2 linked regions of the Cricetulus griseus genome follow. The protein of the gene in region 1 binds, or shares a complex with, the protein of each later gene. Links are inferred from orthologs where the notes say so. Each region holds a gene or a part of one and is shown on either strand. Other genes may lie near its edges.

Region 1 (16,025 bases):
TACATGATGAAGCATTTCCTCAACCAGGTTCTTCAAGGTTGGTTGCACTTTGGCTAAATTTTTAATAAATGTATGTGCATATATGTTTGCTTGTGTGATTGTATGCCATGTGTGTAGAGGTGATCTTGGAGGTCAGAGGAGAGGGTCAGATGGCCTGGAGTTGGAGTTACAGGCAGCTATAGGCCACCTGACATTGGTGCTAGGGGCCAAACCCAAGTCCTCAGGAAGAGCTGCAGGCATTTGTAACTGCTGGGCTCAGGGTTTTTGTTTAAGATAGATAGTTACCTTGAATATGTGTTTATTGATGTTGGTTTTTCTATTCGTCAGTATTGACCAAGATTTGTTTGTTTGTGAGTGACAGGGTCCCGAATCACCCTTGAACTTCTGTTTCTAACTTCCTGAATGCTAGGATTACAGTCTGACTACCACCCACTGTTTTGTTCTTCATAAACAATATCTGGAGATAAGTTTAAATTTCCTATCAAGAGTGATTTACTGAAATCATAACCTTTGGGGGGGGCTGGTTTGTTGTTGTTTTTGTTTTTCAAGTCAAGGTTTCTCTGTGTACCCCTGGTTGTCCTGGAACTCGCTCTGTAGAACAGGCTGGCCTCAAACTCAGAGATCCACCTGCTTCTGCCTCCTGAGGTCTGGGATTAAAGGCATGGAATACTATACCTGGCCTGAAATCAGATCCTTTTATCTAACTTTATTTTATATGCATTGGTGTGAAAGTTTTGGATTCCTTAAAACCAGAGTTACAGAGAATTTTAAACTGTCATGTGGGTGCTGGGATTTGAACCCAGGTCCTCTGGAAGAGCAGTCAGTGCTCTTAACCACTGAGCAATCTGGCCAGATTGCTTTTATCTGCTTTTATCGGCAAGATCCTTTTAAGTTGACATATTTTAACAATGAAAGCTCTAAAAAACAAAGCTGGGTCATTTCTCCTCTCTTGGAGATTTTTTCCTACCTAAATGTCACCTCATTCACTACTCAGGCAGTGTCACCTTACAGGCCAATGGAAATGATGAGGCCAAAGAACTCAAGTTGTGTCCCCGTTCGGGCTCCATTCTACCAGAATATACTTCCTGTGGCTCTTTCTCCAGCTTCACAGCTCTCTTTTGAAGTCTTAAGTATCAGAGCTAGGGACAGCTAAGTGGGCAAAGTACCTGCTATGCAAACAGGAGGACCTGAATTTGAACCCCTGTACCCACATAAACATCTGGGTGCAGGACTGGTGAGGTGACTCAGTCAGCAAAGGGACTTGCCCACCAAGGTAGACCTGAGTTCAATACTGGGACTCATATGGTGTAAAGAGAGAAGTGACTTCAACAAGCTGTCCTCACACATGCACTAAAGCATGCATTCACCCACACACATGCACCACACTCGCACTTGACCACCCCTAATCCCCCACCCTACCCCCCCCCGCTTCCCCACCCCCACTCCTGTCTCCCACCACAAGACATAAATAAAGTATAGCTTAAAAAATAAGTCCTGGGGGCTGGAGAGATGGCTCAGAGGTTAAGAGCAGTGGCTGCTCTTCTAGAGGTCCTGAGTTCAATTCCCAGCAACCTACATGGTGGCTCACAACCATCCGTTATGAGACCTGGTGCCCTCTTCCGGTGTGCAGATATACATGGAAGCAGAATGTTGTGTACATAATAAATAAATAAAATCTTTAAAAAAAAAAAGTCCTGGCCAGGCATTGGTGGTGCATGCCTTTAATCCTAGCACTCGGAAGGCAGAGGCAGGTGGATCTCTGTGAGTTCGAGACCAGCCTGGTCTACAAGAGCTCGTTCCAGGACAGCCTCCACAGACACAGAGAAACCCTGTCTCAAAAAACAAAAGCAAAACAAAACAGAAGTCCTAAGTATGGAGAGAAATCCCAGCTCCTGCAGGAAAGAGGCTTCAGGAAGGGTTATCAGGAAGAGCAAGGCCTAGGGCTGGAGAGATGGCTGAATGGTTAAGAATACTGGCTGTTCTTCCAGAGGACCTGAGTTCAATTCCCAGCAACCACGGTGGCTCACAACCATCAATAGTGGGATCTGATGCCCTCTTCTGGCATAAAGGTGTACATGCAAATAGAACACTGATATATGTAAAATAAATAAACAAGTCTTTTTTAAAAAAAAAAAAAAAAAGAGGAGGAATAAAAAAGAGCAAGTTCCTCCTGGTCTCACTGCCCCACTGTGCAAGAAAGAACAGCATGGAACACAGCCACACCCAGCCCGGGGCCACATGAACATGGCGGGCTTCATAGGACACTACCTACAGGCACCCTGATTCAAGTGCCATGCACTTGGGCAGAAGGGGTGTCTATTCTACCCTCCCTCAATAACGCCACACCACCATGGGGCCAGAGCTGTGGCTTGTTGAAATACATTTGTCTTTTTGGAATCATTTGTCATGGTTTTCTATTTTCTTTCAAAAAGGGATTTCCTACCTTTTAGAAAAAAATAATGTCAACAATAAGGCCCCAGAATGCAGAAATGAGGCATTTCTGTGATAAATGAAAGGTTCATTTGGGGGGGTGGTTTTGTTTTGTTTTTAGAAAAAATGATTGAAGGGGGGTTGAGGAGATGGCTCAGAGGCTGCTCTTACAAAGGATCCTGGGTTCAATTCCCAGCACCCACATGGCAGCTCACAACTGTTTTAACTCTATTCCAGAGGATTCGGTGCCCTATTCTGGCATCCGTGGGATACACACACATAGGTAGCTAACAGATAGTTATGCAGGCAAAAACACTACTACAGGTGAAATATAGCAAAAATAATTTAAAAATTATAAAAATGATTCGGGGCTAATTTCAGTTTTTATTTATAGACCAGGCTGGCCTTGAACTCATAGAGATCCACCTGCCTGTGCCTCCTGCATGATGGAATTAAAGGCTCCTTATCTCATTTTTACCCATTCAGAGTTTTAAAGCTACAAAGGTCCTTATCTTTTCCACTATTTTCTGTTTGCAAATGAGGAAATTGCCGTTCCAAAACTTGCCCAATGGCTCCCTCCTGGCCACACAGCAGGACCTGGCTTTGGGCCTGCTGCCCTTCAGCTCAGCCACTTCTCACACTACTACTCTGCTTTCCAAGCCTCCTGTCTACATTCTCTTATGCTCTTCCTGAGAGCTGGTATTTCAGTTCCTGAAGGACAATTTCACAGAATGGACAGTTGTGCACAAGCAGGAACCGGCCCAAACTCGGAATGAGAAACTCTAGGTCACTAGTAAACATCCACATCCCCAAAGGCTCTGAAGCCACCATGCCCCAATGCCCCAGGACACAGATTTGCACACAAAATAACATACCCCCTTTTTGTAAAAATATGAGACAGGGGTCGGGTGTTGGTGGCACATGCCTTTAATCCCAGCACTTGGGAGGCAGAGGCAGGCAGATCTCTGTGAGTTCGAGACCAGCCTGGTCTACAAGAGCTAGTTCTAGGACAGCCTCCAAAGCCACAGAGAAACCCTGTCTTGAAAAAACCAAGAAAAAAAAATGAGACAGGGTCTTACTATGTAGCTGGGTGACCTGTAACTCAATATGTAGACCAAGTTAACCGTGGACTCACAGATCTGCCCACCTCTGCTTCTTGAGTGTTGAGATTAAAGGCATGTACCGTTATATCCTGCTAAACAACATGGTTAAAAATTTTAATTGTCAGGAATGTTTTTAATATGATTCTTTACCTGTCATTCACTTGTGTGGGAAGTGTTTATTTTGTGTGGGGAGGTGCAGGTGGAAATCAGAGAACAACCTTCAGGACTTACTTAGTTCTCTCCCCCCACCATGCAGGGCTTCGACTTAAGTTGTCAAGCTTTGTAGCAGGTACCTTTACTAACAGCCATTTTTCTGGCCCCAAACCAACAATTTTTTTGGTTTGATTTAAAAGGCCTGATATTTAGAGAAAATGCTCCTTTTGTAATGTGCCACGCCTTGGCATATTGTTAATGTAGCTGTAAACATGAACTATAATGTTTAGCCCTCTGAACATCCCTGCTACCTTTTCTTCATGCAGCAATACAGTTTGATGAAATACGAGTGTTTGGTTACACGGCCTGGTCTCTCCTGGATGGCTTTGAATGGCAGTATGCCTACACGTCTCGCCGAGGACTGTTTTATGTGGACTTTAATAGTGAACAGAAAGAAAGGAAACCCAAGACCTCGGCACATTACTACAAACAGATCATACAAGAAAATGGTTTCCCTTTGAAAGAGTCCACGCCAGACATGCAGGGTCAGTTTCCCTGTGACTTCTCCTGGGGGGTCACCGAGTCTGTTCTTAAGGTGAGTGACAACTTCTAAATAAACCACACGCTAGGGGAGAGGGTGTACAGTATGTTTCCACAAATGTTATGTGTTTGGATGTTTTGCTTGCATATATGTCTGTGTGCCTGGTACCCATAGAGGCCAGAAGAGGCACTGAATCTTCTAGGACTGGAGATGCAGATAATTATGAACATCCATGTAGATGCTCTGAAATACTAGAATACTAGTCAGTGTTCTCTCTCTCTCTCTCTCTCTCTTTCTCTCTCTCTCTCTCTCTCTCCAACCCTGAGCTGCGATTTTTAAAAACTTTATTACATATAATTGTATATGTAATATGGTGCATGTCTTACTTAAGGTTTTCATTGTTATGACACTATGACCACAGCAACTCTTATAAAGAAAACATTTAATTGAGGGGCTCACTTACAGTTTCAGAGGTTCAGTTCATTATCATCATGACAGGGAGCGTGGCAGCATGCAGGCAAACTTGGTGCTGGAGCTGAAAGTACTACAACTTGCAGGCAACAGGAAGGTCACATTGAGTGAAGCTTGAGAAAAAGACCTCAAGCTGGGCAGTGGTGGCACATGCCTTTAATCCCAGCACTTGGGAGGCAGAGGCAGGCAGATCTCTGTGAGTTCCAGACCAGCCTGGTCTATAAGAGCTAGTACTAGGACAGCCTCCAAAGCCACAGAGAAACCCTGTCTGGAAAAACCAAAAGAAAAAAAGAAAAGAAAGAAAAAGACCTCAAAGCCTGACCTCACAGTGACACACTTCCTCCAACAAGGCCACACTCTTAATAGGGCTACTCCTTTTGGGGATCATTTGCTTTCAAACCACCACAGTTCGTATTGTGGCGCCTGTGGAGGTTAGAGGACAAATTTGTGGAGTTACAGCTTTTCCTCTATCTTCATATGGGTACGAGGGCTTGAACTCAGGTTTCTAGGCTTCATCCACTGAGCCATCTTCCTAGCCTGAATCCCCTGGTTTTTATTGGCATATGTTAATTATATGAACTAATGTGTTTCAATATCACCTCTTCACATGTACACAAAATGCACTTTGGTCATGTTCGCCTCCACATTACATGTCCTACCCTCCTACTGGCACTCTTCTCCATGCATCATCTTTATGTGGTCTCTCAGCAGATAACCACATGCATTGTCTACAGCTAGCGTTTCCTGGGGGTCTGTAAAGTGCAATGCATTTTGTTTGATCTTGCCTTGTTTTGTGGCAAGATGACCTTTTATAAACATCTCTTTAACAATACTGGGATGTTCTGAACTTTTCAGAACATGGGAGCTGGCCTGGTCTGGGAAGACTGCTCAGGTAATTCATTATACACAGATTGAATGTCACTCTCACGTGACCAAAGCTCTCTCAGTTTAATGTTCTAGATAACTGGTTGGCAGATGGCAAGTGGGCAATCATATGGCTTTGTAATTAGACTATGAAGGATGACACATGAGAAAACAATTAGAAGGAAAATATTTGCCAAGGGTTAATTATCAATTTTCCTGGGTTATTTAAATTCAGCCACAGGGGGAAGGTAATTTAACACAAGAATTTTTCCTTGCTCTAATTAATCTTGAATTTGAAATTTTTTTCTTACATCTTTTGTTTTATTTTATTAGTTTTTTGAGCAGGGTTTCTTTGTGTAGCCCTGGTTGTCCTGGAACTAAACCCAAGTCACCTTATCTTTGTACGATGGTTTCCAGTTGAGACTCCTCCTTCCCAGGGCATCTATCTAGACCTCACAGTGCACCTGGGAAGTGGGTGACACAGGACCATCCCCATATGATTGTGCAGCCCAAGCTCAAAGAGGAAAATTCCGGGCTGAGGGTATAACTAAGTTGTCACAGTGCCTCTCTAGCATGAACAGGTCTCTGGGTTTGATCTGTAGCATCACATTGGCTAGCTGTGGTGGCATATGGCTGTATGCCCAGCACTTGGGAAGTGGAGAAAAGAGAAGTAGGAGCTCCAGGTCATCCTCAGGTACTTACTAGGTTTTTGGAGGCTGTTCTGGAACTAGCTCTTGTAGACCAGCTTGTCTCGAACTCACAGAGATCCACCTTCCTCTGCCTCTGCCTCTGCCTCTGCCTCTGCCTCTGCCTCCCGAGTGCTGGATTAAAGGCATGGAACACCACCACCTGGCTGGTACTTACTAGGTTTAAGGCTGGCCCTGGGCTGTATGAGCCACCCCTCCCCCAACACACACACACACACACACACCACACACACACACACACACACACACACACACACACACACAGGAAAAGTAAGACAGAAAAGTCCATGACTCATGACTCTCCAGGTGGAAAGGCAGGGAGATCTGAGGTTATTTCATTGTCTTCCCCCCTCATTACTGAAGTGCTTTGCATAGGGCAATGTTCCATACTCTGCTGTTGAGTGAGTGCTGTGTGAAAATGGGACATCCTTGTACCTTTCTTCCTTAAAAAAAAATTTAAGGGCTAGAAGGATAAGGCTCTTTCTCCCATATTATGAACAGAATATCCAGAACACAGAAACCATTATGAAAGACAAAGTTATTTATTTTATCTTGTAGTCTCTGCTATATAGGCTGGTCTCCAACTGGTAGTAATCCTCCTGCTTCAGCCACTTGAGAACTGGGATTATAGACATGACCACCACTGTGGGCTATCACCTGAACTTTTCAAACAAGAATTGCTGAGAGCTGTGGCCAGCACAAGCAAGAGCACATCTTTCAGGAATGGTCTGGCTTAACCAGCCTCCTCTGAATGCAAGTGCTGCTCTCAGCGACTCCTTTACAACTTCAATTTTACCTTTGACATCAACTTATGACAGGACTTAGAATCCATCTTTCATAACTGCCTTTGACTGAGGGCACCAAGCCAATTTCCTGATGCATTTGAACACCGTCACAGAAGATGCCATATAACCTGGATTTGTAGGTCAAATGAACTGGAAAATAGCCTCTTAGGCTTTTCTCAAACAGCTGTTCTTCCTCTCCCCTGTGTGCTTCCTTCCCTGTGTTTCCTGGTCTCCCTGGAGATTTCAAGGACTAGGATAAGGCCCTTTCTCCCATATTGCTAACAGAACAGCCAGAACACAGAGCCCATTATGAAGGACAAAGTTTTTTATCTTGTAGTGAGAGGCTTCGTGAGGCTCAATTCTTCTGATCTGAGGGGCTTGGATATGCTAGGAGCCACACTTGATTTACCTGAATGCTCTTGTTTCCCACAGCCGGAGTTTATGGTTTCCTCCCCACAGTTTACCGACCCTCACCTGTATGTGTGGAATGCCACTGGCAACAGATTGCTACAGCGAGTAGAAGGAGTAAGGCTAAAAACAAAACCATCCCACTGCACAGACTATGTTAGCATCAAAAAACGAGTTGAGATGTTGGCCAAAATGAAAGTCACCCACTACCAGTTTGCTCTGGACTGGGCCACCATCCTTCCCACTGGCAATCTGTCTGAAGTTAATAGACAAGTACTAAGGTACTATAGGTGTGTGGTGAGCGAAGGACTGAAGCTGGGCGTCTCTCCCATGGTGACGTTGTACCACCCCACCCACTCCCATCTAGGCCTCCCTGAGCCGCTTCTTAACAGTGGGGGATGGCTAAACACTTACACCGCCAAGGCCTTCCAGGACTACGCAGGACTGTGCTTCCAGGAACTAGGGGACTTGGTGAAGCTCTGGATCACCATCAATGAGCCTAATAGGCTGAGTGACATGTACAACCGCACGAGTAATGACACCTACCGTGCAGCCCATAACCTGATGATTGCCCATGCCCAGGTCTGGCGTCTCTACGACAGGCAGTATAGGCCAGTCCAGCATGGAGCTGTGTCGCTGTCCCTACATTCTGACTGGGTGGAACCTGCCAACCCCTATGTGGACTCACACTGGAAGGCAGCGGAGCGCTTCCTCCTGTTTGAGATCGCCTGGTTCGCTGATCCGCTCTTCAAGACTGGCGACTATCCACTGGCCATGAAGGAGTACATCGCCTCCAAGAACCAGCAAGGGCTGTCCCGCTCAGTCCTGCCGCGCTTCACCCCAGAGGAGAGCAGGCTGGTGAAGGGCACCATCGACTTCTACGCACTGAACCACTTCACTACTAGGTTCGTGATACACAAACAGCTCAACAGCAGCCGCTCTATGGCAGACAGGGACGTCCAGTTCCTGCAGGACATCACCCGCCTGAGCTCGCCCAGCCGCCTGGCTGTTATGCCCTGGGGAGCACGCAAGCTGCTTGGGTGGATCCAGAGGAACTATGGGGACATGGACATCTACATCACAGCCAATGGCATCGATGATCTGGCTCTGGAGAATGATGGGATCCGAAAGTACTACTTGGAGAAGTACATCCAGGAGGCTCTGAAAGGTGAGGTTTGGGGAGCTCACACAGTGAGGTGGGGGAGGTATATGGAACTGACAGCAATGAAAAGCTGGGCACGAAGATCACCGGCAACTCAGATCTGTGGCTCCTGACCGCCTCCTATCCGTTGGATCTCCTCCTTATGAAAACAAAAAACAAAAAAAAAAAACAAAAAAACTATGTTTTTTTGAGAGACAGAGTCTCTTTAGTCCTGAGTCTTTGAACCCACTATGTAGATCAGGCTGGCCTTGAACTCAAGAGATTCACCTGCTTCTACCTACTGAGTGCTCGAATTAAAGGCATGCGCCACTATCTCCCGGTATTCATTAATGTGTTTTTTGTTGTTTTTTTAGACAGGGTCTATCTAATCACCCAGGATGGCCTCCAACACTAGGCTGATCCCTATCTTTCTGCCTCAGCCTTCCAAGTGGTAGGATTACAAGCCTAAACCACCACATCTGAACTTTTATAAAGTGGCATAAACTCATTACAGAAAACTTGGAAAACATTTTTTCCTAAATAACACCTGAAATCTCACTTCCCAAGAAAAGCACAATTAGCTCTGAAAGATAAATTCTTTTTTTTTTTTTTTTGAAATAGTTTCTCTGTAGCTTTGGGGGCTATCCTGGAACTTGCTCTGTAGACCAGGCTGGCCTTGAATTCACAGAGATCCACCTGCCTCTGCTTCCAGAGTGCTGGGAATAAAGGCGTGTGACACTGCCTGGCAAAAACTAAATTCTTTTCAAAGATAGTTTCCTGTCCATTTGTGATCACCGATGTTCTTTTCTGTTTTTTTTTTCTTAGCATACCTCATTGACAAAGTCAAAATCAAAGGCTATTATGCATTCAAACTGACTGAAGAGAAATCTAAGCCTAGATTTGGATTTTTCACATCTGACTTCAAAGCTAAGTCATCTGTAGAGTTTTATAGCAAGTTGATCAGCAGAAGTGGCTTCCCCTCTGAGACTAGCAATCCCGCATGTGGTCAGCCTCCAGAAGACACAGACTGCACCATCTGCTCATTTTTCACTCAGAAGAAATCTCTGATCTTCTTTGGTTGTTGCTTCATCTCCACTCTGGCTGTACTGCTGTCAATCACCATTTTTCATCATCGAAAGAGAAGATTTCATAAATCAAAGAACTTAGAAAATATACCATTGAAGGAAGGCCACAGTAGAGTTCTTAGCTAAACTATCATTTATGTCATAGTTTAAAGGTTCACTCCAGTTCCATATACTGGTAACTTATAATGTGAGAGACATCTGCAACCAAGGCGATGACAATCAATGCCTTTGCAGTGGTTCAAATCATTCCCTTAGGTATTGACAATCAGTGAATTAATTCAGTTCTTAGAGCTGAAGGCTTCATCCTGTCAGTAATTCTGGGGACATGGCTTCAGGAAGTGTGAAGTGCTGTTTCACGTCATTTTACTCTAGCTCTCTTCTGTAAATAGCAATTCGTAGTAAAGGAATTCATCTTTAAAAGTGAAATTCTGTTGGTTTAGATTTCATAGTTTAAAACTATTTTGTTGTTATTTTTGAGACAGGGTCTATTATGTCACTCTGGCTGTCCTGGAACTCTAAGATCCCACCTGCTTCAGCCTTCTGAGTACTGGGATTAATGTGTACACCACCACACCCAGCTAAAACTATCCTTTAAACTGGACAGTAGTCACATATGCTGTCACTTCTAACAAGGTGCTCTTCTGTTTAGGTCAGGAGGTCATTAGGAATGTAAAATATATAACAAGACTTTAGATCATGCTTGTCCATAGGCAGTTAAAAACACAGGATCTAAAACACACTAATCCTAGCTTTTCTCAACAAAACACAAGGCGTTTCTTTTTTTTTTCTTTTTCTTTTTCTTTTTTTTTTTTTTTTTTTTGGTTTTTCAAGACAGGGTTTCTCTGTGTAGCTTTGGAGCCTAGCATGGCCTTAAACTCACAGAGATTCACCTACCTTTGCCTCCCAAGTGCTGGGATTAAAGGCGTGCGCCACCAACGCCTGGCTACAAGGCATTTCCTAAACATTCAATTTTGTGAGCTCTCTCTTACTGGACTTCTGATTGGTGGGGAAGGAGGAAGGTTCAAGACAGGGTATTTCTGTGTATTTCTCACAATCCTGGAACTCACTCTGTAGACAAGGATGCCCTTGAACTTTAGATCCATCTGCCTCTTGAGTGCTGGGACTAAAGGAGGGAAGTGCCCGCCACACCCAGCTTGGACTTCTGATTTTAAAAGTAGCTTTCATAACTCATGTCATGGAATGATCACAGGATGGACAACTAGACCCAAGTGTCTTGTCAAGATCAGGTCCATTAACCCTTACAGCACGGCGATTTCCATTTTAAAATAAACTGGCATCACATCTATTCCCCTGATTTCAAGGTGAGAAGATCTGTCACACTCAGGAAAGTTAAAAAGATGTAGATTTTACAATAGGTAAAGGTCAAAGACTTTACCATTATTCATAGATTCCTGCTTTGTTCCCTAGAGCTTCCTAACTGTCTCATGCACCATGATTCTGATGAATCCAGCATGTCAATTTGAATGACCTAATTTAATTTTGCTTTTTAAGGCTAGCACTAAGTAAATTTCAATTTGGATATTTTATATTTAAGAAACCATGCTTGATTTGATCACAAACACTAGGGATAACTTGAATGTGTACCCATTCACATCCATTCTTTCAAGTAAACATGTAAATAGCCACGTTACCCAGTAACTGCAAACCCTCTCCAGAATTTATGCTTGGGATTCAAAGAAAAGTAGCTCTTTCACAAAGAGCCTTAGTAATAAGCCATCCTAAAATGTACCATGATTTTTAATTGTACATCAGATCTACCTATTGTTATTTGTCCCTGACTGTCCTGGAACTCACTCTGTAGACCAGGCTGGCCTCAAACTCAAGAGACCCACCTGCCTCTGCCTCCTAAAAGTGCTGGGTTTAAAGGTGTGTGCCACTACCTCCCAAAGCAAAATTATGATTCTTTTTTTTTTATTTATTATGTAACATTGTGCTTCCATATATATCTGCACACCAGAAGAGGGCACCAGATCTCATAACGGATGGTTGTGAGCTACCATGTGGTTGCTGGGAATTGAACCTATAGAAGAGCAATCAGTGCTCTTAACCTCTGAGCCATCTCTCCAACCCCCAAAATTATGATTCTTATAATCACTAATTTTCAAAAATCATAGAGACAGCACGTGCAAAAGCCATGAGAAATAAAACTGCTATTGGACTAGTTAAATAACAGATTTCTGCTTTTCTGCTTCTGGTTCCCACAACCACCACCCTGCCTGTCTTAGGTTTCTTGTGTACGGATGTTTTGCCTGCATGCATGTATGCACCACTTGTTTGCCTGGTGTCCTTGGAAGCCAGAAGAGGCATCAGAGATGGATATGAACCAACATATGGGTGATGGAAGCCAAACCTGGGTCCTCTGTAAGAACAGCAAATGCTTATAAACAGAGTTGTCTATCAAAAATTTAGTTCTTAAGACCGGGTTTTTTTGAGACAGGGTCTCACTGCATAGCCCTGGCTGGCCTGGAGTTCACTATACAGACCAGTCTGACCTTGAACTTCCCCTGCCTGTCCACTTAGTAGTTTTTAAGTAGGTTTTGCAAAGAATCTCTTTGAGAACTATGCTTAATGACACCCATTGTAGTTGGCTGGACAATTGTATTGTTAGCCACATAGAAAAGCTATGTATCACTAAAAAAAAAAAAAAAAAGTAAAACACTTCTAGAATTGAGTATTTTGCCTGCATACATGTATGGATGTGCACCTGGTATCTTTGGAAATCAGAATACACTAGATCTCATACAACTGGAGTTAAAATGGTTATGAGCCCCATATATGTGCTGGGAATAACCCAACTCCTCTGTAAGAGCCACAGTGCTCTTAACTGAGATTTCTCTACAGCCCTACTTGGGTTTAAGTCACACAAGTTTGAATTCACTCCAGAAAAACTTTGGTAAGTTTTTTTTTTTTTTTTTTAACTTTTATCACCTCATTCCCTGCATCTAAAATTTGTAACAGCTGGACACTGGTGGCACACACTTTTAATCCCAGCACTCAGGAGGCAGAGGCAGTTGGATCACCATTTGAGGCCACCCTGGTCTACAAAGTAGTTTCCAGGACAGCTGGGGAGATTTCAGAGAAACCCTGTCTTATCTGTAACCTCAAAAAATATGCAAGCAATAGGAGAAACAAAGAACTTGGAATCAACCCTCAATTCAATAACACTTAAGGTTTTTTGTTTGACTGGGTTTCATTATATTTAAGTTGGCCTCAAACTGGCAGTGATCCTCCTGCCTCAGCATGGTTTCCAACTCCGTTAACATCACTACTGTTTTTTGACAGGTCTCATGCTGTCCAAGCTGACCTTAAACATTACCTCAGGATAACCTCCAAGAGTCTTCATCCTCCTGCCTCAACTCCACTGCACAAGTCACAGGGATGTACCACCACACACCCAAATAAAACATTTCCTTCCTTCCTCCTTCCCAAACTTGCCAAGTTCACCAAATGTATAGTTCGTAGCCTAATGCTGCCACACTTGAGGGTCATGGGATTATGTGTGCAGTCACCCATTTTAAATGATCATATAAAAATTAGGTCACGTTCTAGTGATACTAAATTTAAGTCTCCAAACACAGGTTAGGGATATGGCTCAGTGGGACTTTGTACTTGCCTAGCAACGCTAATACTGAGAACATTCTTAACCCAATGGAGTAGCTGCAAAAAACGATGTATCATTTTACAAATTCATTGTCTTAACTGGTGTTTGTCTGGGAAATGAGGAGAGTACCGTGCCTAAATGTTTTACCCTTCAGTGCTATACCAATGTGGTTGATGCCAATCATTTATATTCAACAATCTGGCTGGAGGTGAATAGTTAGTTCATAAGTAGCTGAAACTGGTTTTGAAGCTCTTAGCCTGTTTCCACCCCTGTAAGGTTAGGATCACAGACCGGCACACACCACATATATATATATATATGCAGGGGCTTCAATAGGGGGAAAACACTTAGCCAGCTGAGCTATAACCTGGCCTTTGTGATAGTTAGACATGATGCTGCACACCTTTAATCCCAACACTTGGGATTAAAGTGATCTCTGAGTTTGAGACAACCACAGCCAAGAGTTCCCTATCTCAAAACACTGACTAGGGCCTACAGAATAATGTAGCTCCAGGGGAACTGACACCTCTGGAAACATGAATGAATATATTCTCTCTCTCACACACAAGCATAGTTCAATTGGGCATTACCTGTACCCTAGCACTGGGGAAGACAAACACTACCTTAAACACAAAGTGAAAAGGTAATAGACAAAGACAGCAATTGCACGTACATGTGCACACATGAAGAATAAAAAACTAGCTGTGTTGGTACTTGCCTGCCATGCTAGCACCCAATAGGTGGAGGAATGAGGATTATGAGTTTGAAGCCGTAATAGAGCAAACTTGTCAAAGAAACTAAAGGTCTGGGGACAATCCTCAGTGTTTGCTGGGTTCACTCTTCACCACCAGGCGGATAGGGAATTCACACAAAATACAGATTACTATTAAGTCTAGAACATTATATTCAAAGCCTGCAACCCTACCACCCCCAGTGTTCCAAAGTAACCCCAAGTTCATTGTTTCATTCATAATCTACTGAGCCCCAACCTGATCCCCCCCACATCAACCTCTTCAGAGGTAGAACTACAACCATGATAATATTGAGAACAGAATGACCATGATTTTACATTTACATTTTTTAGTCCCCACTGAGACAATCTGCACACCAAATAGTCATTATGATGACTGTGCCAAAGTCACAACACCTCTAGGTTCATCCCAAAGTACCACGCCAATTGAACCCGCACGGGGACGATTGCCTGTCATTGGTACTACACTCCTGTTCTTGAAATCTCTTGTTATTCTTTTAAGTCACTTGTTTACAGGAAGGAAAAAAACCTGTTGTGCTCCTTGGAGTAGCAGTTGACCTATCTGCTAAGTAATCAATCAGAAAAGACACACCAAATCAATACAAGTCTTTATTGTCCCAAAAGACACACCAAATCGTACTTAATTCAGGATCTTGTTTCTGGAACTGGTTAACTGTAAAAACAAAATACATGTAAACTTTTATTAATATTCCTGCCCAGAAAGTTAAGTTCACCTATATTGTAATTATATAGAGTAAAACAAATTCACCTATGATACACTATACAGGCAAGTACTGATTTAATAATTTTTAGTATAACAAACGCCATCTAAAGTAGTCAACTGCAGATACACGAACCTACCTTAGGTCTTACTCATCAGCCTGCTGCACTGTTCCCTTTTCAGACACATAGATACCATCCAAAAACTTCCTGATATCTTTGTTTTTAACTGTTGTGGCTTGCTGAATCAGAGCCGCTATATAGGAAGAAGCAAATAAAGCCATTATTTCACTAGCCAAACACGTCCACAAGCTTAACTAACATCTGGAGCCCAATCCCTGGAGCCTACAGGATGTAAGGAGACCCCTTCACTGCCCTTAGTTCTCAACTGAGCACAGCTACATACATACCCTAATATAAACACAAAAACAGTTCCCAACAAAGCCAGCCACATGCTACCCATCACTTAGAACTGCATATACTCCAACGTGTATTCATGATACAAAGTATAGTATATACAGCACAAATTTGGAACAATGTTTGACCTCTCAGAATCAAGACATGCATACATACCTGAATTTGAAACAAGTTCAATATCATTTCCTTCAAGGATTAATTCATCCTTTTGGGCTTGAGAAACAGAACAAGCAACACCTGAAAAGGGTGTGTATTCAATAGCATTAACATGAGATCTGTACAAAAATACAATTTCATTTAAAACTCCACACAACCCATCAACTTTAGGGCTGGACTTCTGAACATACTGTATGTGATTACAGATCTGATAGATTCAATTCCCAGCACACACACAAAATGGCATCAATCTCAAGCTAGCGGAATTACCAAAACACAGTTCTGAAATAACCTTCACCATAAACACCAGTACTCTAAGACTCCAGGAAAATGAACTGTAGCAGCCAATCATTCCTGAAAGTAACACACATACCTGTTCTCATCCGAACCCTGCGGATGTATTTTTCACCCAAGAAATTTCGGATTTCAACCAAAGACCCGTTCTCCTGAATAACAACGTTGATGGGGAAGTGAGCATACACAGACCTCATCTTGTAGCGGAAGCCCTGCAGGAAATAAATATTGAACAATCTCAAAACATTTTCAGTTCAGGCTGGCCCACAATCTGAGACTCCTTCAGTGGACCCTAGGATAACAGTTGTTTGCCACCAGAGCCTGATCTCAGCACACCGTACCTGCCCCCCCCTCACCCCCGTGACCTGCAACAAGTC
Region 2 (16,602 bases), on another chromosome or scaffold:
CCCAAATGCTGGGATTAAAGGCATGAGCCACCATGCCTGACTTACAGTAAATTCTTGACGATTATCACTATGGCGGTATGAAGGGACTGAACACTCTAGCTGCCTGTGGGCTCCGCCACAAAGCTGGGCCTTCCAGAACCTCTGAGCATTGTCTGAAGCTGTGGGCGAGTAGAAGCGGTCGCCACCGTAGATCAAACTGCTCTAAGTTTGATCTACTCTAAGAGTGTCATGCAACCGTTGAATTCGTCTCGGGTCCCCTCACAGATGCAGTTCCTAACCCCATGCATATTGGGGCATTGGACGTTGCAGGACGCGCCCACAGATCCTGCTCTTCAGACTGGTGCTGCGAGTTCCGTGAACGACCACCAGGGGTTGCGCTTGCGCTTCGAAAGCTGCGCCACTAGCGCATGACTATTAAGGACCGTACAGGAGTCAGGACTTACTCTTAGACTGAGAAAGGACAAGGCCGGTGTCACTCAGGACACACCCTGAGTGGGACGCCTGGGCCGGCACAACTGGACACTCAGCCAGCACCGACACACTGGGGTCCCTCTCAGCCTTTAAGTTCAGAGCACTTGAGCATTCCCATGAAAATGTCCAAACTGGTCTTTGCTGGCCACTGCAGGGTGCGCCCCCCACTTCTTTACCCCGCCTCCAGCTCCTTGACCACTCTAGGCCTCCACCTTCCCACCTGGGAAATGGGAGGTTGGATGCATTTTAGTGTCTGCTAGGACTGCCAGAACAACAGCTCACGGAGAAATTTGCTAGATAGTAGTGTGATTCTGAGACCAGGGATTCCTGAGGTCAAGGTGATCAGGGTTGGCCCCTGAAGCCTGTGCCCTGCACACACAAGCCTCCTCACAGCCCTACCCAGAAGACCTTGGGTCATTTTAATTTATGTATGTATATATGTATTTCATATATATTTCATATTTATATATCATTGGTGCTTTGCCTCCATGAATGTCTGTGTGAGGGTGTCGGAAACCTTGAAATTAAGAGTTACAGACAGGTGTGAACTGCCATGTGGTTGCTGGGAATTGAACGTGGGTCCTCTGGAAGAGCAGCTAGTGCTCTCAACCGCTGAGCCGTCTCTCCAATCCCTGTTTTTGTTTTTTGAGTCAAGGTCTCACTATGTAACCCTGGTTGTCCTAGAACTCACTAAGCAGTCCTGACAGGCATCCTCCTTCCTCTGCATCCCGAGTCCTGGAATTAAAGGCATGCGTCACTACACCAGAACAAGTTTTGTTTTGTTTTTAACAGGCTCTCATTATGTGGTCCTGGATGGCCTGGAAGTCACTATATGGTTATATAGATCAGAACAGGCTAGCCTCAAACCTCAAACCTAGCTCCACCTACCCTAAACCTCTGCCTCCTGAGTGCTGGTATCGTGTGTGTGTGTGTGTGTGTGTGTGTGTGTGTGTGTGTGTGTGTTTAACGTGTACGCATGTGGGTGTGGAGGCCTGAGGCTGATGTTGGGAACCTCCAATATTCTTCCACTTAGTCCTTCGAGGCAGTCTCTCACTTAAACCCTGAGCTCACCTATATGGCTAGCCTCCCTAACTGGCTTGCTGTGGGGAGCCTCTATCTCTGTCCTCAGAGACTGGAATTACATGTGGGTGCTACCCATACCCCAGTTATGTGGGTACTGAGTTCCAGTCTTCATGCCTCTGACAAGTGCCATCCCCAGGCCTCTCTTTTTTTCAGGTCATGTGGATTCCATTTTCTTCCTCCTCATGTTCCTTTAAGATCTCTTCCTCTCCTTTCATGACTCCCTGTCTAGTCTTGTGACACACAGACACATACACTCATATAAGTATATACACGAAACTTTTCTTATTTTTTTTTTTTTTTTTTTTGAGACAGGGTTTCTCTGTGGCTTTGAAGGCTGTCCTGGAGCTAGCTCTTGTAGACCAGGCTGGTCTCGAACTCAGAGATCCGCCTGGCTCTGCCTTCCAAGTGCTGGCTTTTCTTATTTTTTAAAAGATTTTTTAAAATTATACGTATGGATGTTTTGTTTGCATGAATGTAGGTACACCACATGCATGCAGTGCCTGAAGATACCAAAAGTGGTTGTAAGATCCCCTAGAACAGGAGTTACAGTTGTGAGCTACCCTGTGGGTCCTGAGAAACAAACCTGGATCCTCTTCAAGAGCAACCAGTGCTCTTAACTGTTGAGCAGTCTCTCCAGATTCCACATATATACATTTAAATCTGGATTCTGTGTATAAGAGATAACACGCAATGTTTGCTTTTGAGTCTGGCTTTGTTTTTAAGCATTTTATGTATTTATTTTGTGTGCATACAAACATATGGAAGTCAGAGGCCAACTTCCAGGAATCACCTCTCTTCTTCTACCATGTGGGATCCAGGGACAGAACTCAGTTGTCTGGCTTGTTGGCAAGTCCCTTTACTCGCTGAGCCCTATTGCTGGCCAGAGTCTGTCTTATTTCATTTAACATGATTATCCTGAGGCACATGCCTCAGGCAAATTTTTACCTGTTTTTTTCTGTTTTTTAGAAGACCCCTTGATGTAACTCAGAGCTTCTTGCTTGCTCAGCTTGTAGTCCACCACAGAGCCTGCCCACTCTGTTTCTTATGCCTTCTTTTGCCAATGATCTCTGTACTGGGTGGGTGGGTGGGTGTGATGTATATTTGTGCCCATCCTTTCATGTATCTGCTCCTCCTACTTCATGGCACACTCTGAGACACTCTGAGTGTACCTATGAGGCCGGGCAGTCACCACGAGAGATTAGCCTCAAACCTCTGTGATTCCACATAGCTGCCTGAGGTTTGCTCTCCAGATGGACACAGTTCCTGTTTCCACTGCAGGTCTTGGGGTTCTACTCCACATGGTCATACAGGAACCCAGAGGTGGGTGGCAGACGCAGGATAGCCAGCCATTGCAACCTCCAGGAGGTGGGTGTGAAGAGAACATGTTTGGGGCAAGGGCTGGAACTCACAGTTCAGATGCAAGCATGTACAGGCTCATGAGGCCCTGGATTCCATCTCCAGTCCAGACAACATCAAAACACAGGTTGCCAGGCATGGTGGTGCATAGAGGCAGAGGCAAGAGGATCTCAGTGAATTTGAGGACAGCCAGGGCTGACACAGAGAGGCCCTGCCTCAGAAAATAAATAAACAAATAAACAGGTAAATAAACAAATAAATAACATTAAAGTAAACCTTTTTTTTTTTTAAGTTTGAATCCAGACATGGTGTCTCAGGTAATCCCAGTGTGGGAAAATGAGGCAGGAGGATTACAGTCAGTTCTAGGATACACAGCAAGTTCCAGGTCAACTTGGGTTACATAGTGAAACCCTATCTCAATTTCCATCCTACTCCAAAAAAAAGGTATCTTTTTACTACTGGTTTCTCCTGCTGGGCATCAAACACAGCTCATGTACACTGTCTGCAGACCCTGTCCTTTGGTTCATGCTTTCTTCCGTGGGAGCCCTGGGTGGGGGGTGGGGGTGGGGGCAAGTAAGCAAGCATGAAGTAGTAGAAGCTGGGAGGAAGGAAAGGAGAGAAGGAGGGAGGGAAGGAGGAAGGGAGGGAGGGAGGGAGGGAGGGAGAGAGGGAGGGAATGATACAAAATTGCCTGGTGGCACACAGCTGTAGTCCCAACACTGAGAAGGCTGAGACAGGGTCTCAATACATATCTCTGGCTCTCCCAGGGCCACATAATGAGACCCTGCCTCAGAAAAAACGACAATAGACACAAGCCAAGGAGTATGAGCATACACAACAGGAATGCTTGACAATGATGAAATCTCTTGAAACAAATGGAAATGTGAGAAACCTCTGTGAAGAAATGGTCATAAAACAAAACACCAAGATGCTGGGCAGTGGTGGAGCCCCCTTTACTCCCAGCACTCCCAGCACTTGGGAGGCAGGAGCGGGTGGATCTCTGTGAGTTTGAGGTCAGCCTGATCTACTGAGATAGCTCCAGAATAGCTGGGACAACACAGAGAAACTCTATTTTGAAAAATCAGAAATAAACAAAAGCACCAAGTGGAAGGTGCAGCAGACCCAACAGACAATGCCTGTCACTGCCACCAAGTCCCTATCACATAGCCTTCACTGCAGGGGAGGGGAGCCCAAGTCTGAGCAAGAAAAAAACATAAACTCAGTTTCCCTAATGTCTGTGTACAATGCAGATCCCTTTCATGGTCTCTCACTTCCACCAGGTGACTGCAGCAGGGACAACCCCCCACACACACATCAGTTCTGCCACATCTGCCCAGGGCAGCAGCAGCAGATTTTGCTGGTGAAACACCCCACCCCCAACTCAGCACTCCTACTAGGCTTTGGCCCCACCTAATACAAGTTTGATGTCCAACCATGACCCCTCTTCCTTGATTTCCACTAATTTGGTCTACCAACCAACAGACTGTGTGTTTTATTATGATTTTTTAAAGACAGGGTCTCAATTCGTGTGTATCTCTGACGATCCTGGAACTCACTATGTAGATCAGGTTAGCTGCAAACTCACAGACCTCTGCTTGCATCTGCTTCCCAAGGGCTAGGACTAGAGGCGTGCACCACCTGTGCTCAGAGAAGTGCAGATACAGGGAGTCAGGGTGTAGAGAAGGTTCCGTGCTTCCCAGACCTCCCAGATACTGCCTGAGCTACAAATTCAGAAACTTCCAGAAGTTTCTCTGAGCCAGGTGCTAAAGGTTGGTACGGAGACCTCATAGAATACGCATGATGGATCAGCTCAGCCACCTTGGTATTTGTGATCAGGTCAACATCAGTCCCTGGCCTCCCTTATTCAGGGAGGATAAGGCTCCTCCAGGCTTGGAGGGTGAGGGATTCCAGCTCAGGAAGGCCATTAGCAAACCAAAAGAAACATCTTGTTACCGGGATATCAGAAGCTGTCTGGCAGGAAATGGGGCCCAGGATTAAATACGTAGCTCAGCAGTGTCACAGCCAGGGGCAGTTCCATCTCTGGCTCCTATTCCCCCTTTCTCCTTTCTGGTCCTTGGAAGATTTTTCTAGAGTCAGTTTGTAATCTAGAAGAGGTAAATCAGAGCTGGGTGGTGACTGCACGGCTTAGAGAGGCTAAAAGTCTGAGTCCTTTGTTTCCCATGGGGAGGCCACTCACCTCTGCTTCTTTCTGAGTTCCTAGGGGGCAACTAATGGCAAAGACCTCAGAGCTGCCCCATCAGAGCCACCCTGCTCCTGCCCCTCCTCCAGAAGTCAGAATTGACTCTAACAGCCATTGTTGTTGAGCCCACCAGCTGAATGCACATGGCCGCACTGCCCTCTCCCTGTCACCCTGTCCTGCTTCCTTAATCCATTTGACAAGAGCACCAGCATCACGCTTGCTTTCCCAGCCTAGCTGCTGGGGGGCAGTGAATATCTGGCCCTCTGGTAAAGCCCTGGTTCCTAGATGGCAGAAGAATTTGACAAAAAGTTTAAGCAAGCTTTGACTTTCCCAGTGAGGTAGACAAGACAGGCATCAGGACCTGGGCAAAATGCCAGTTTCCCTCTGCCCTTCATATTGAACATAAAGAATCTGATTCTTGTGACATCCTCACTTTCCAAGACATTTTTTTTCTTTTTTTTGGTAACTGAGTACAGTGGCACATGCCTCTAATCCCAGCACTAGGGAGGCAAAGGCAGGTAGATTTGTGAGATAGAGGCCAGCTTGGACTACTTAGCAAGTTCCAGGACAACCAGAGCTGTATAATGGAGAAACCTTGTCTCATAAAGACCAAAAAATAAAAAGGGGGATGGTAACTTTTCAACAAGCCTCTCCCCACCCCACCAAACAGTGTATCCCCAAATAACAAAAGCCGACGGTGGGGCTGTCTGGCTTAAGCTATTGTGTCCTCCTGGTCTGATCTGTTGGTTGGGTATGAGGGGTCTGAGAGGCCAGAAATGGAGCCACCCATTGCCAACAAAGGCATGATGTCCCCTGTCTAGGATAGGGCGGTCGCCCCTCCCGTAGCTCTTTTCTGCCTCATTTGCATCCCACTCGAAACAGAATAATTTTTGATACAAACCAACTCCTTTTTAATGTAGAAAACAAATATCATGTACATAAATATGATCTGGGGCATAAATAAAGTTAAGAAAATAAGAGACATATACAAAATAAATTACTTATAAATATCACACTGCCAAGTAAGTGCTGCAGAAAGGACTCCACATCTCCCCTGCAGTCACTGAAAAATTTAGGGTTTCCTAATCTTGTTGTTCATTTGCAAATGAGGGGTGCAGGTTGATACAGGCAGCGGGGGAACATACTGATCCACATAATGCTTGATGAATAGGGACAAGAGTCAGGAGCTGGGGGCAAGAGGGCACAGGTAGATGGCCCATGAGCTCTATGCTCTGGGGTTGGAGAGCCTAGGGTGAGCTCTGAGAAGGGGTGTGACCTGGGCAGATCTGGAGGCTCATGACCAAGACAAGCTGCTGAGATACAAGTGGCAGTTTAGTTACCCACTCAGCTGAGAAGTCCACTCTTGTGCCTAGATGTCCATTTGACATCTAGAGGTGGGGGAAAGGGGAATTAAGTGGTCAGCTGGAACTTTTAATCCCAAAACCATCCTGCAAGGCTCCCAAGGTTTTCCTGGCTGCCCTTTGCTCCAAGTTTGTGATCGCCCCATCAGTTTTAGCCAGGAGGCAACTGGGGGCAAGTAGAGACCCCACGAGGTTCACTCAGTCAACACATAGTTCAGAGCCCACCCCCTGCACATGAATTTTAAATGACTTCACATCTTCTGGCTGGCCTAGAGATCGAGAAACATTTCATAGGAATGACTTCCCCGTTAGCGGAGGTATTCAAACAGAACTGGAGTAACCTGACCACAGATCAGCAGCTGCCTAAGTCAGTAGGGCTCAGATGTCAGCTAGGCAGGTGATCAGTTTAGGTTCACGATCCAGTCTAGCCACTAAAACCACACATGGTCAATATAAGACTTAAAATATGTACAGCTTCTAGCGCATCTTCCTAAAGGGGAAGTTCATGGGACACTGGGGTGTTCTTCATCCTGTCAGAACCCCATCACTTCTGGAAGCTGGGGCTCTTTATCTCCAAGTCCTCCGTTATCCTGAAAGGATCCATGCTGTCCGAAGCCAGCGACAGAGGCAACACTTTCGACTCCAGCTGGTCTCTGGGTTCCAAGAACCGGGCAAATATGGGGAGAAAGAGTGAGGGTTTTTTGTTCAGGAGATCTTGCCTGTATTTGTTCCTGAAGAGGACGACATAGAGGTGGTGATTCGGAGATTCGTACTTGTTGTAAGTTATATACTCCCATTTCTCATTGAAGGTACAGTCTTTCGGCGAGTAATGAGTCTTTGGAGAAAGAAACAAGCATATATGAGCATAAGCACTGTGGTGGTGTCCTGTCCCCACAGCCATCATAAGTGTTCTTTCCTTGAAGTACATGGAAAGCCAAGCATGGTGATGCTTACCTCTCATCCCATGGCTTGGGAGGCAGAGGCAAGAGATCAGGAATTCAAGGCCAACCCGTGTTGCATGAGACTGTCCCTGTTAGCTCACCCCACAAGTATTCTAGCACTTTCTCTTTAGACAGTCTTACTACATGTAGCCCTGGCTGGCCTGGAACTCATAATGTAGACCAGGTTGGCCTTGAACTCAAAGATTCACCTGCCTCTGCCTCCTGAGTATGGGATTAAAAGCATCCCAACTATGTCAGGCCTGGGTTTTCATTTTGAAACAGTCTCAAGTACCCTATGCTGACCTTGAACTCCTGATTCTCCTGCCTTCACTTCCCAAGTGTTGGGATGACGAGTGAGCACCACGGTGCTGGGATTATGCAGTGCTCAGTTGAACCCAGAGCTTTGAGCATGCTAGGCAACCACCTCACCAGCTGAGCTCCATTCCCCAGCTCTGGTATGTTTTTGAAACAAGGTCTCACTCACTCTGTAGCCTTGACTTCACAGCAATCCTGCCTCAGTTTCCAGAGGGTTGGGCTGGTAGGTGTTTACCAATTATCTATCCCAGCCTTTGGCAGAGAAATCCCCAAGCAGCTACTGGCAGGGTGCAAGTCTCCCTGGCTTTTAACTAGTGACATTAAATTCTGATGGTTATTTCTCAGCTTTCTGAACTCTGCCCCCTGTTTAGGCAGTTTTTGGGTAGTAACTGCAGCCTTGCCTGGGGCAGGGAATAAAGCGAGAGTTCCTGTCTAGACCTGAAGCACTAGCTTTTCTAATGCTGAGGTGGTTGCGTGTCTCTTATTATTGTGAGTAGAGAAGCCCCCTCACAGGCAGCTTGCCAGGATCTGCCTGATAATCCGCAGCCCTTCCCCCACGCCCAGGACCAAGCCCCGACCCTGTGGGTGGCCGGAAATGTTTGCTGCAGGAAGCTGTCCCTGGTCCCCATCCTCTTAATACCAGAACATTCCTAGTCCCCAGGACTGAGGTACCAGTGGCAGTCTCCCAAACTGGTGCCACATCCCTTTGGGAAGCCTGGATGGTTCGGTAAACACAAGCCGCCTGCTGAGGTCGCTGAGCTGCAGGTGGAAGAGCGATGGCAGATAAGGCTCTGATAACAGGCTAATTCCAAGAACCCACAGCTCCTGCCCTGGCTGATGGCACGGGATAGCCACCAGGCAGTAAGGGCCATGTTCCCTGAAAAATGTTAAGTGTAGATAAACACAGGATGTATTTCTCTTGGAGAATTCTTAGGGAGAATTGATCAGCCTTTCTTCATATAGGAATGATAGATTGTGGGGCTTCTATTTAAAAAAAAAAAAAAGTCAGGGAGAAGTTGTGATGGAACCATGCCCAATAGATAAGGGGCGGCACTGGAATTGAGGGGCAAAGCTCCCATGGGCATTCCCACCCCATTTAGATTAGGGTAGACGGGGGATCGAACCTTTCTCCTAGTGCCCTAGCCACAAATAAATATCTCAGGAGGACAGTGTGGTGGGAGATTTGTTCAGGGCTGGGGTATCAGTTTTCAGACAGGCAGTGGAACCCCTTCTTTGTAAACCGGCTTCTCTGCATACCCCTTTCTTTCTTTGTGATCTTTTCATGTAGCTAAATCCATCTCAAAGCCACAAAACAATTTTGAGACTCTTAAAGACAAAACAAAACAAAAATTTTGAGCCGGGTAGCCATCGTTCCCCATAGGGGACCTCCTAACCCCAGTCCCTGCTCCTCCCAGGAGCCCAGGGCTGTATGGGAGGCCTTGGCCAACAGACCTCACACGGCCTCCTCTTGTACTGCCAAAGGGAGGGCTGAAGGCTTCTTTGGACTCGCAGCTTTTGCTCCCACAGAGCCCTGGCCTTTGTATTTCCAGCCTCCCGGGTTTCAGGGGTTACCTTGACCTGACCAGCCCTCCCTAGCCCCATTGCCCTAGCTCCCAAGCAGGTGAGCCCCTTAAGGACATTCTAAAATATCCTAGTCCCTACATCACACCGTGTTCCTAGGACTTAGAAATTGACTAAAAGACACTTCCTTTCTTCTTTTTTTCTTTCATTTGAGGGAGAGAAAGGAAATCGAGGACCACACACGCAAAGGCTGGAGATGAAAATGGCAGAGGTGTGTTTTCCTGTTCAATATCAAAGGGGCCGAAAGCTGAATGGTACTCAGCAGCCAGCCGAGCCAGCCTTCCCGAGGATTAGACATGCTCCGCTGGGCTCGTCATTCCCGCCTACAGCCTGGGGCCATCGCTTTCCGAAGGGGGGTGGGCGGCGGCGGCTGTGGTAACATTAGTTTCACTAGCACTAGCTACCTTGCTCTCTTAAGTTCCCTGTAGGCCTGAGCAGGGGGTGTAAAGACCCAACACAGACCCAGCGCAGCTCCGAGCATCCCGCCTCGTGGGGAATACTCACCAGCCCCTGTATCTTGCCGTCCGCGCTCATGCAGAGGTACCGCACGCTGCTGACGTCCTTGATGACAATCGTCTTCACAGCGACCGCGCGGAACTCTAGCAAACCTGCGAACAAGAGAAGGAAGGAGATGCAGCTGAGACCCAGCAACACGTGGGTACGGCAGAACTACACTGTTCGCCCCTCCCCAGACCCAGTCTGAGAGTCCAGGGGATTTGTTAAGGCCACGGTAGCACGCACGCGAGCGTAAGGGACCCGAGGGGACGCGCTGGCAGACACTCACTTCGTTCGTTTTGTTCATCCTCGCAATCCACGGAGCCGTCGCTTCGGATATGCACGAAACAGTTGGAGATGTGGGGACCAGCAACGTACAGGTACTGCAGGCGGGTGCTCTTGCCCCAGCCGTAGAGAAAGAGTGGGTTTGCATTGGGCAGAGTCAGGGATCGCCGAACCAGAGGACGGCCAGCCACTGCCAGCCACAAAGTGGCCAGGACCAGGGCTCGGGCCATGGCACGCCCGTTCTGCGTTCTCCACATGGCACCTCCGGAGGGGTCGTGAGGCGCGGTTACAAAGGTGGCACGGAGACTGCGATGCAGCGGAGACGCGAATAGCAGGCAGAGTGTCTGCGGCCAACAAGGCAGCGGGCACTTGCAGCACGGTGCGCGCAGCACTGCTGCTCCGACGGTTCTATGGCTCCGGGCACGCCGCCTTATATACGTTTCGGGTAGGTGACCGTGGCATCAGAGCTTTTCTCCTCCTAATTGCATCAAGTCTCCGCCCCCTGCACACACCCTCTCAGGCCCAGCCCAGTGACCCCGCCCAGACCGGCCAGATCTACAGGAGGAGGAGCCCCCCACTCCCCTTCGCGATCGCGTCCCGGGGAGTAAGTGTTCAATGTGTATCAGCCTGGTGGTAATTGAATAGCCGGTTTTAATTTTACTATTAATTACTGAGGTCCCCGGCCCTGGGCTCTCAGAGGGATGCGCTTTGAACGGTCACTAGAGACTGCAAGGCACGCAGAGCTCTGCCTCCTTGGCCCCCAATTTGAGTCTCGGGTCCTCTCCCTTAGCTTTTCCTCGAAGATCCGACTCTCACACGTTCTCCTAGCCCCAGAACTAGGCCTCCTTTTCTTGGGTATTTGCCCTTGACAGTGGAGACGTCGTGGGAGCACTCGCGCGCACTAGGTGGCGCTTCAGCCCCAGTTTCGGCCTCCACAGCGCAGCGAGGGGCGCTCTGAGCGGACGTCCTCTGCCTGCCTTGTGGTCTCCACAAGGCTACCGTCACTGGGGCTGCGACTTTCGAGGAGGGTGGGCTGACCAACATGCAGAGGCAGGACAGGCCGCGGGTCTCCTCTTGTGCCTGTGATCAGGCCCCGGAGTCTGCGCGCGAGGGACAGCTGCCTACCGATGAGGAGGGGGCCTGCTAGGAGCAACGGTGGACTCTGCTGGCGGCACGTCAGGTGGGAGGAGAATAGGGGCCTCTCCATGAGCCTCTCTTGCAAAGAAAGGAGGCAGCCTGCAGAGAATTCCCCGGCCTTGAAGAAAGGGTCCTCGCAGGGGTCTTTGGCTCAGTCTTATCCTTTCTCATTATACCTTCAATTCCCCAACTCCTGGGTGTGGGGCCCCCGGGAGGCTGGTTTGGGGAAAGAGGTAGTGGCCTCGTTCAGTAGTGATGGGAGGTCCGTCTGCAGGGGCGGGACAGCAGAGAGATGGCAGGTCTGATGAATCTCAATGAGGAACACAACACATTCAGACGCCATCAGTGACTGGCGTTAATGACGGAGCGCTGGGAGAATGTCACCAGGAAAGCCTTTACAAAAATACATCATCGAAAGGTCTCTGGACCGGGGACTCCCATGCTGTGAGGCTTGGTTTAGAGAGCGGTGCCTCCTGTAAAATCTAATTACTTCCCCCTTGTGATTCTCAATCGACAGCGCAGACTATTAATCTTAATTGCCTTCTCCTGCGGCTTTCGTTTTAATGTCCGTGATAAATGTGGGGTACCGGGGAGGTTGGCGAGGCTTCACTGAGGAGTCCCCCCAAATTGGGCTGGAGGGTGGAATACGATTGGTAGTACCCCATTCCATTAGGCTCCCTTCTCAGAGACATCCGGAAGAGGTGGAGATGTTGGTAATGGAGTGTTCTGAGAAATGTCTGTAGGGTCCCCAGGGAACCCCATAAGAACATTCTGCCCCGTGCTGGGTTTTACTCCCATCTCTGAACAGGTGGAAAACGAGGCTCTGAAAAGTGTCAGGGTGCTGCACATCCATGAGAAGTGAAGATAGAACCTTGTGTGTGACAGGCAGGGTGGCCTGTCTCGGGGCTTGGGGGGATGGTGGCAGCAGATCCACAGCGGGCTACATGATGAACTCTGGGCCAGTCGCATCAGCCTGCTTCTGGGCTTGTCTTGTGGAGTGTATGGAAGAATGGGCATAGAGAACTCAGACCTTTTTTTTTTCATATATCAACAAGAGCTTGGGTTGTTCATGCAAAAGAATGAGAGTCGGTTATAACTGGCCTTCCTTAGTTCAGCAATGATTTGGAAGTAAAGGGTGAGTCCTGAATGAAACAGGCTTAAGGAGAATGAGGGGGTGTGCCCTGGCGATCCGGGTAACCACTCATAGATTTTGGCGGGTACCACCGGGAGAAAAAAAAAAGAGAAAGGGGGGAAAAGAGCTTTTGCCAGCAGGGGGCGCTGATGCCACCTTACAGACTCCTCTCCAGGTGAGAGAGGAGGGGGTGCCTGCCTTCTGTAGCTTTTGGGCTTGCAGATCTAGTTCCCGGACTTTCCAGTACCCTGTGTGGTGCTAAGACTGTGTTTCTAGATTGACATCTCACGGAGTCAGTGAGCAGGACTTCTGTGACCTCTGCTGTTTTCTCAGGGTCCACACAGATGCCCAGACGGCCAGAAGGGCTTAGCTTGGGGGTCCGTTGATTGAAAGAGAAAAAAAAAATAGTATTACTTATTCTTTGAAAGTTCCTTACTATTTTTTAAAATTATGTGTATGTGTGTCTGTCTGTCTGTGTGTGGGCATGTGCCAATAAGTGCAGATGCCCAGAAAGTGGGTGCTGGGCAGAGAATTCAGGCCCTCTGAAAAGTAGTACTCGTTCTTAGCCACTGAGCCACCCCTCCAGCCCCAGATCCATACAGTTGTGTTCATCATGTCCATCTACCACTATCCTCCCTTCAACTCCCTCTAGAACCCACCACAAAATCTCCCTCCCAGCTTAGTGCCCACTTTTTATTTATTTATTCATCTACTTATTTACTGTTGTTGTTTTGAGACAGGGCCTCTCTATGTAGTCCTGGCTATCCCAAAAATCACTATGAAGCCTAGGCTGGCATTCATCAAGGCAATCCTCCTGCCTCGGCTTATCATGTGCTGGGTTGACAGCCCTGAGTTGTCACAGCTGGCTTTATTATTTCTTTTAAAATTCAGTGTCAAACTTTGGAAAAGATGAGACAAAAGGCCAGTTCACAGTCAAAGGGGAAGACTGACCACCAATAGGGAAGAGGGTGATTGTAGGTCACTAGAATGTTCCGTATCATGAATGTGGGGCTAATATTTGTTTATACTCTCAAAGTTAGCTGGGTGGTGGTGGTGCACACCTTTAATCCCAGCACTGGGAAAGAAGAGACAGGTGTATCTCTGTGAGTTCCAGGCCACCCTGGTCTACAGAGCGAGTTCCAGGACAGCCAGGGGTATACAGAGAAACCCTGTCTTGAAAAAACAAAAGCAAAACAAAAACAAACAACCCCCCCCCAGAAAACCAAGCAAACAAAAAACCTCTTGGAATTGTGTTTTGAGGGGCTCACAAGATGACTTAGCAGATAAAGGTGCTTGCCCGGAAACCTGAATTCACTCCCCAGGATCCACAAGGTGAAACAAGAGAACTGACTACCAGGAGTTGTCTTCCAATATTCACTTATGCACCATGGCATGGGCCCTTGTGTGCTGTGCGTGCGAGTGTGCACGTGCACACCAGCACACACACACACACACACACACACACACACACACACACACGTAAATACCTATGCCCTTCAAATCAGGGTAGAGGGTGGAAATTGTGGTGTAGTTTCTAAATTTTACAGAGTGGGCTACATCTGAATTTTAAAGGTGTGTTGAGACACACTACAAAGAGTATGCCCAGTCAACTGTGTTCCAGGTGTGGCCAAAATGTTCCTATGCTTATCTCATCGTAGAAGTAGGTGTCACCTGGTGTTTCCAGGACTCTTTTCAGTTTGGAAAAAGAAACTTGTCAGAGGGTACATTTTATTTTAAATCATACCTTCAAAAATCTAAAGGGAGGAGCCGGGTGTTGGTGGTGCACGCCTTTAATCCCAGCCCTCGGGAGGCAGAGGCAGCGGATCTCTGTGAATTCCGAGACCAGCCTGGTCTACAAGAGCTAGTTCCAGGACAGCCTCCAAAGCCACAGAGAAACCCTGTTTCGAAACCCCCCGCCCCCCCCAAAAAAAAAATCTAAAGGGAGGATGACCCCCTGGGTGTCTTGGGACTGGCCCTTGACCCAGCTTCCCCATCCAGGAAATGCAAGAAGCCACTGTGCAGACGTTGTCTGCCCCTAGACTACAGGAGGCTGGGCTCACAGAGCAGGCAGACAGGCCCATCACAGGCTAATCTGACTGATCTGAGCTGGTGTAGGGACTCACAACACCTGCCAGCTATCCCTGGATTCACCACTAAGGGCTCCCATCACCACTGAGTTGTGATCAAGTGGGCTTCGTTCATGCTGGTCTGATTCCTGGCTTTCCATCAGGGTAGGACAGGGTGTGAGCAAATGCCCAGCTCAGGTTGTGCAGGGTACAAGTGGGGAGGTGAAATGAGGATCCAGTAGCCAGATGGACAAAGAAAGGGCTCCTCTGCTCCTTCTGTCGCTCCCTTTAGGCTGCATTTCTCTGGACTAGGCTGGCTGTCAATCATTTAGCTGGGGAGGAAGTACAGTCCTAGCCACAGCTGGGAGGCTGCTTCCTGAGGTTCAGTGCCCGGGTTGCCAGTGACCTGGGGCCTGTGTGGCTCTAACTTAATACAGTTCAGTCTCCAGTTCTGCCGGCAGAACTCTTGCTGGTGATGCTCCCAGGAGCCCAGCAGGATGGGTGGAGTCACTAGGGTAGAGTGCATCCCTGGGCAGAGCAAGCTCTCTATTTTCAGTGCCTGATTCCCACGCATTCTGTTTGTTTTAAGGATCTTTCTGGATGCTTCCTCATCAGACACTAAGAGTTACAGTCTCTGTCCTTCTTGAACTGGGGCCTGGTGACTTTGAGTGTGTTTATGCGACATCTCCAGGGATGCAGTGCTGTTCTGGCTCCTGCTCTGGGTTTGCTGTAACTATGACCACAGACACACTTGGTAGTATCTCAAGACCTCCAGAAGCCTCCAGAGTTCATACTAATGACCCTCCTGAAGGGCAGCATGATGTTTTTCCTATTCCAGAAGTTCCTGCCCAGCAATGATCAGCATCTGTGAGAAGGGCCTCAGCCATTTTAGGACATTGGTCACCTGGCAGCCCTTCTGGGGTGGCTGTTGATGCTTGGGGATGATTTCCCCATACTGGCCAGTTAGCAAGCAGCAGGGCTGGAATCCAAACACAAGGCCATTGTCTCTATGGACCCCTTCAAGAGTGGGGGACAAATGACCACTGACTAACAATGACTTTTACAGATATTGACCCCTCGTCGCACCCAAGACTGGAAGCCAGAGATCAAGACATGAGGCAGAACCAGGTGTGGGGTGCATGCCTTTCATCCCAACGACTCAAGATTGGCAAGGGACCAATCAGAAGTTAGCTGGTGGTGCTATGCTTTACGGAAAAGTGCACAGCAATGACGCACAGAGCATAGCAACCACCCTGGGAGGGCCTATGGGCCATAACAACCAGTTGACCAATCAAAACAGGGAAAACCCTCCACCAATCCTGAGCCTGTATGTACCCCTAGACACTCCCCTTACGCTGCCCTATGAGATCTTTATGCGGCCGCTTGGAGCTGTCTTTTCTAGCCATCCCCCATCGTGGATGGGTGAAAGGCCGGATCTAACATGGGGTTAGCTCGTTAAACAACTATAATAAAGCCTCATGCAGTTTGCATTAAGCTTTCGCCTCCGCCTGGTGATTGGGGTGGCCTCGGTCCTGAGCTGAGATCCTGGAGGCCTGAGCTTTTGGGGGTCTTATAGTAGGAGGACCAGGAGTTCAGCATCATCCTTGGCTGTATAAAGAGTTCAAGGCCAGCCTGGGTTACAGGAGACCTTGTATCAAACAAACAAAACAAACAAACAAACAAATAATAAATGGTGTGGGGGCTGGAGAGATGCTCAGCAGTTAAGAGCACTGGCTGTTCTTTCAGAAGATCTGGGTTTGATTCCCAACACCCACATGACCACTTGCAACTGTCTGTAATTTTAGTTCCAGGGGTCCGATAGGTACATATACCGCCAAAACATTCATACATGTAAAGTAAAATAAGTATAAATCATATATATATATATATATATATATATATATATATATATTTAAAATAAAAAATGGATCCGAGCAGGCTTACCTGTTTCCAGGCACCGAGGCCTTGGCCTTCATCTCCAAGTGGTTTCTGTCAGTTTGCTTTCTTCCCAGATCTCCCTGTGTTACTATTGGCTATATGTGTTTGATTTTAGCCCCACCCAGCAAGGATGCTGCCTCTCTCTCTCTCTCTCTCTCTCTCTCTCTCTCTCTCTCTCTCTCCTCCTCTCTCTCCCTCCCTCCTCCCTCTCCTCTCTCTCTCTCTCTCTCTCTCTCTCTCT

Evidence for each region.
Region 2: the proteins of Klb (region 1) and Fgf19 are in contact, whole or in part, in a crystal structure (PDB 6NFJ), measured with the Homo sapiens proteins. The link is inferred for Cricetulus griseus from reciprocal best matches to the Homo sapiens genes KLB and FGF19. Residues at the interface, in NP_783864.1 of Homo sapiens: Phe379, Lys380, Val392, Leu394, Trp419, Phe420, Thr421, Asp422, Val425, Thr431, Tyr434, Met435, Asn438, Tyr643, Glu693, Arg696, His743, Asn824, Phe826, Met832, Gln848, Phe849, Leu850, Gln851, Ile853, Leu862, Phe931, Phe942; in NP_005108.1 of Homo sapiens: Leu192, Thr194, Asp195, Ser196, Met197, Pro199, Phe200, Leu202, Val203, Thr204, Ser211, Pro212, Ser213.

What each region holds. Positions count from the first base shown.
Region 1 is NW_023276807.1:132,409,231-132,425,255, forward strand, and holds the end of Klb (beta-klotho), read left to right. Parts: coding exon 1-37; intron 38-4,012; coding exon 4,013-4,281; intron 4,282-7,486; coding exon 7,487-8,630; intron 8,631-9,428; coding exon 9,429-9,814; downstream 9,815-16,025. Other genes in the region: Rpl9 (60S ribosomal protein L9), read right to left, coding at 14,931-15,037, 15,355-15,435, 15,728-15,860.
Region 2 is NC_048596.1:56,433,514-56,450,115, forward strand, and holds Fgf19 (fibroblast growth factor 19), read right to left. Parts: upstream 10,346-16,602; coding exon 10,093-10,345; intron 9,917-10,092; coding exon 9,813-9,916; intron 7,307-9,812; coding exon 7,016-7,306; downstream 1-7,015. UniProt on the Homo sapiens protein: Involved in the suppression of bile acid biosynthesis through down-regulation of CYP7A1 expression, following positive regulation of the JNK and ERK1/2 cascades. Stimulates glucose uptake in adipocytes. Activity requires the presence of KLB and FGFR4.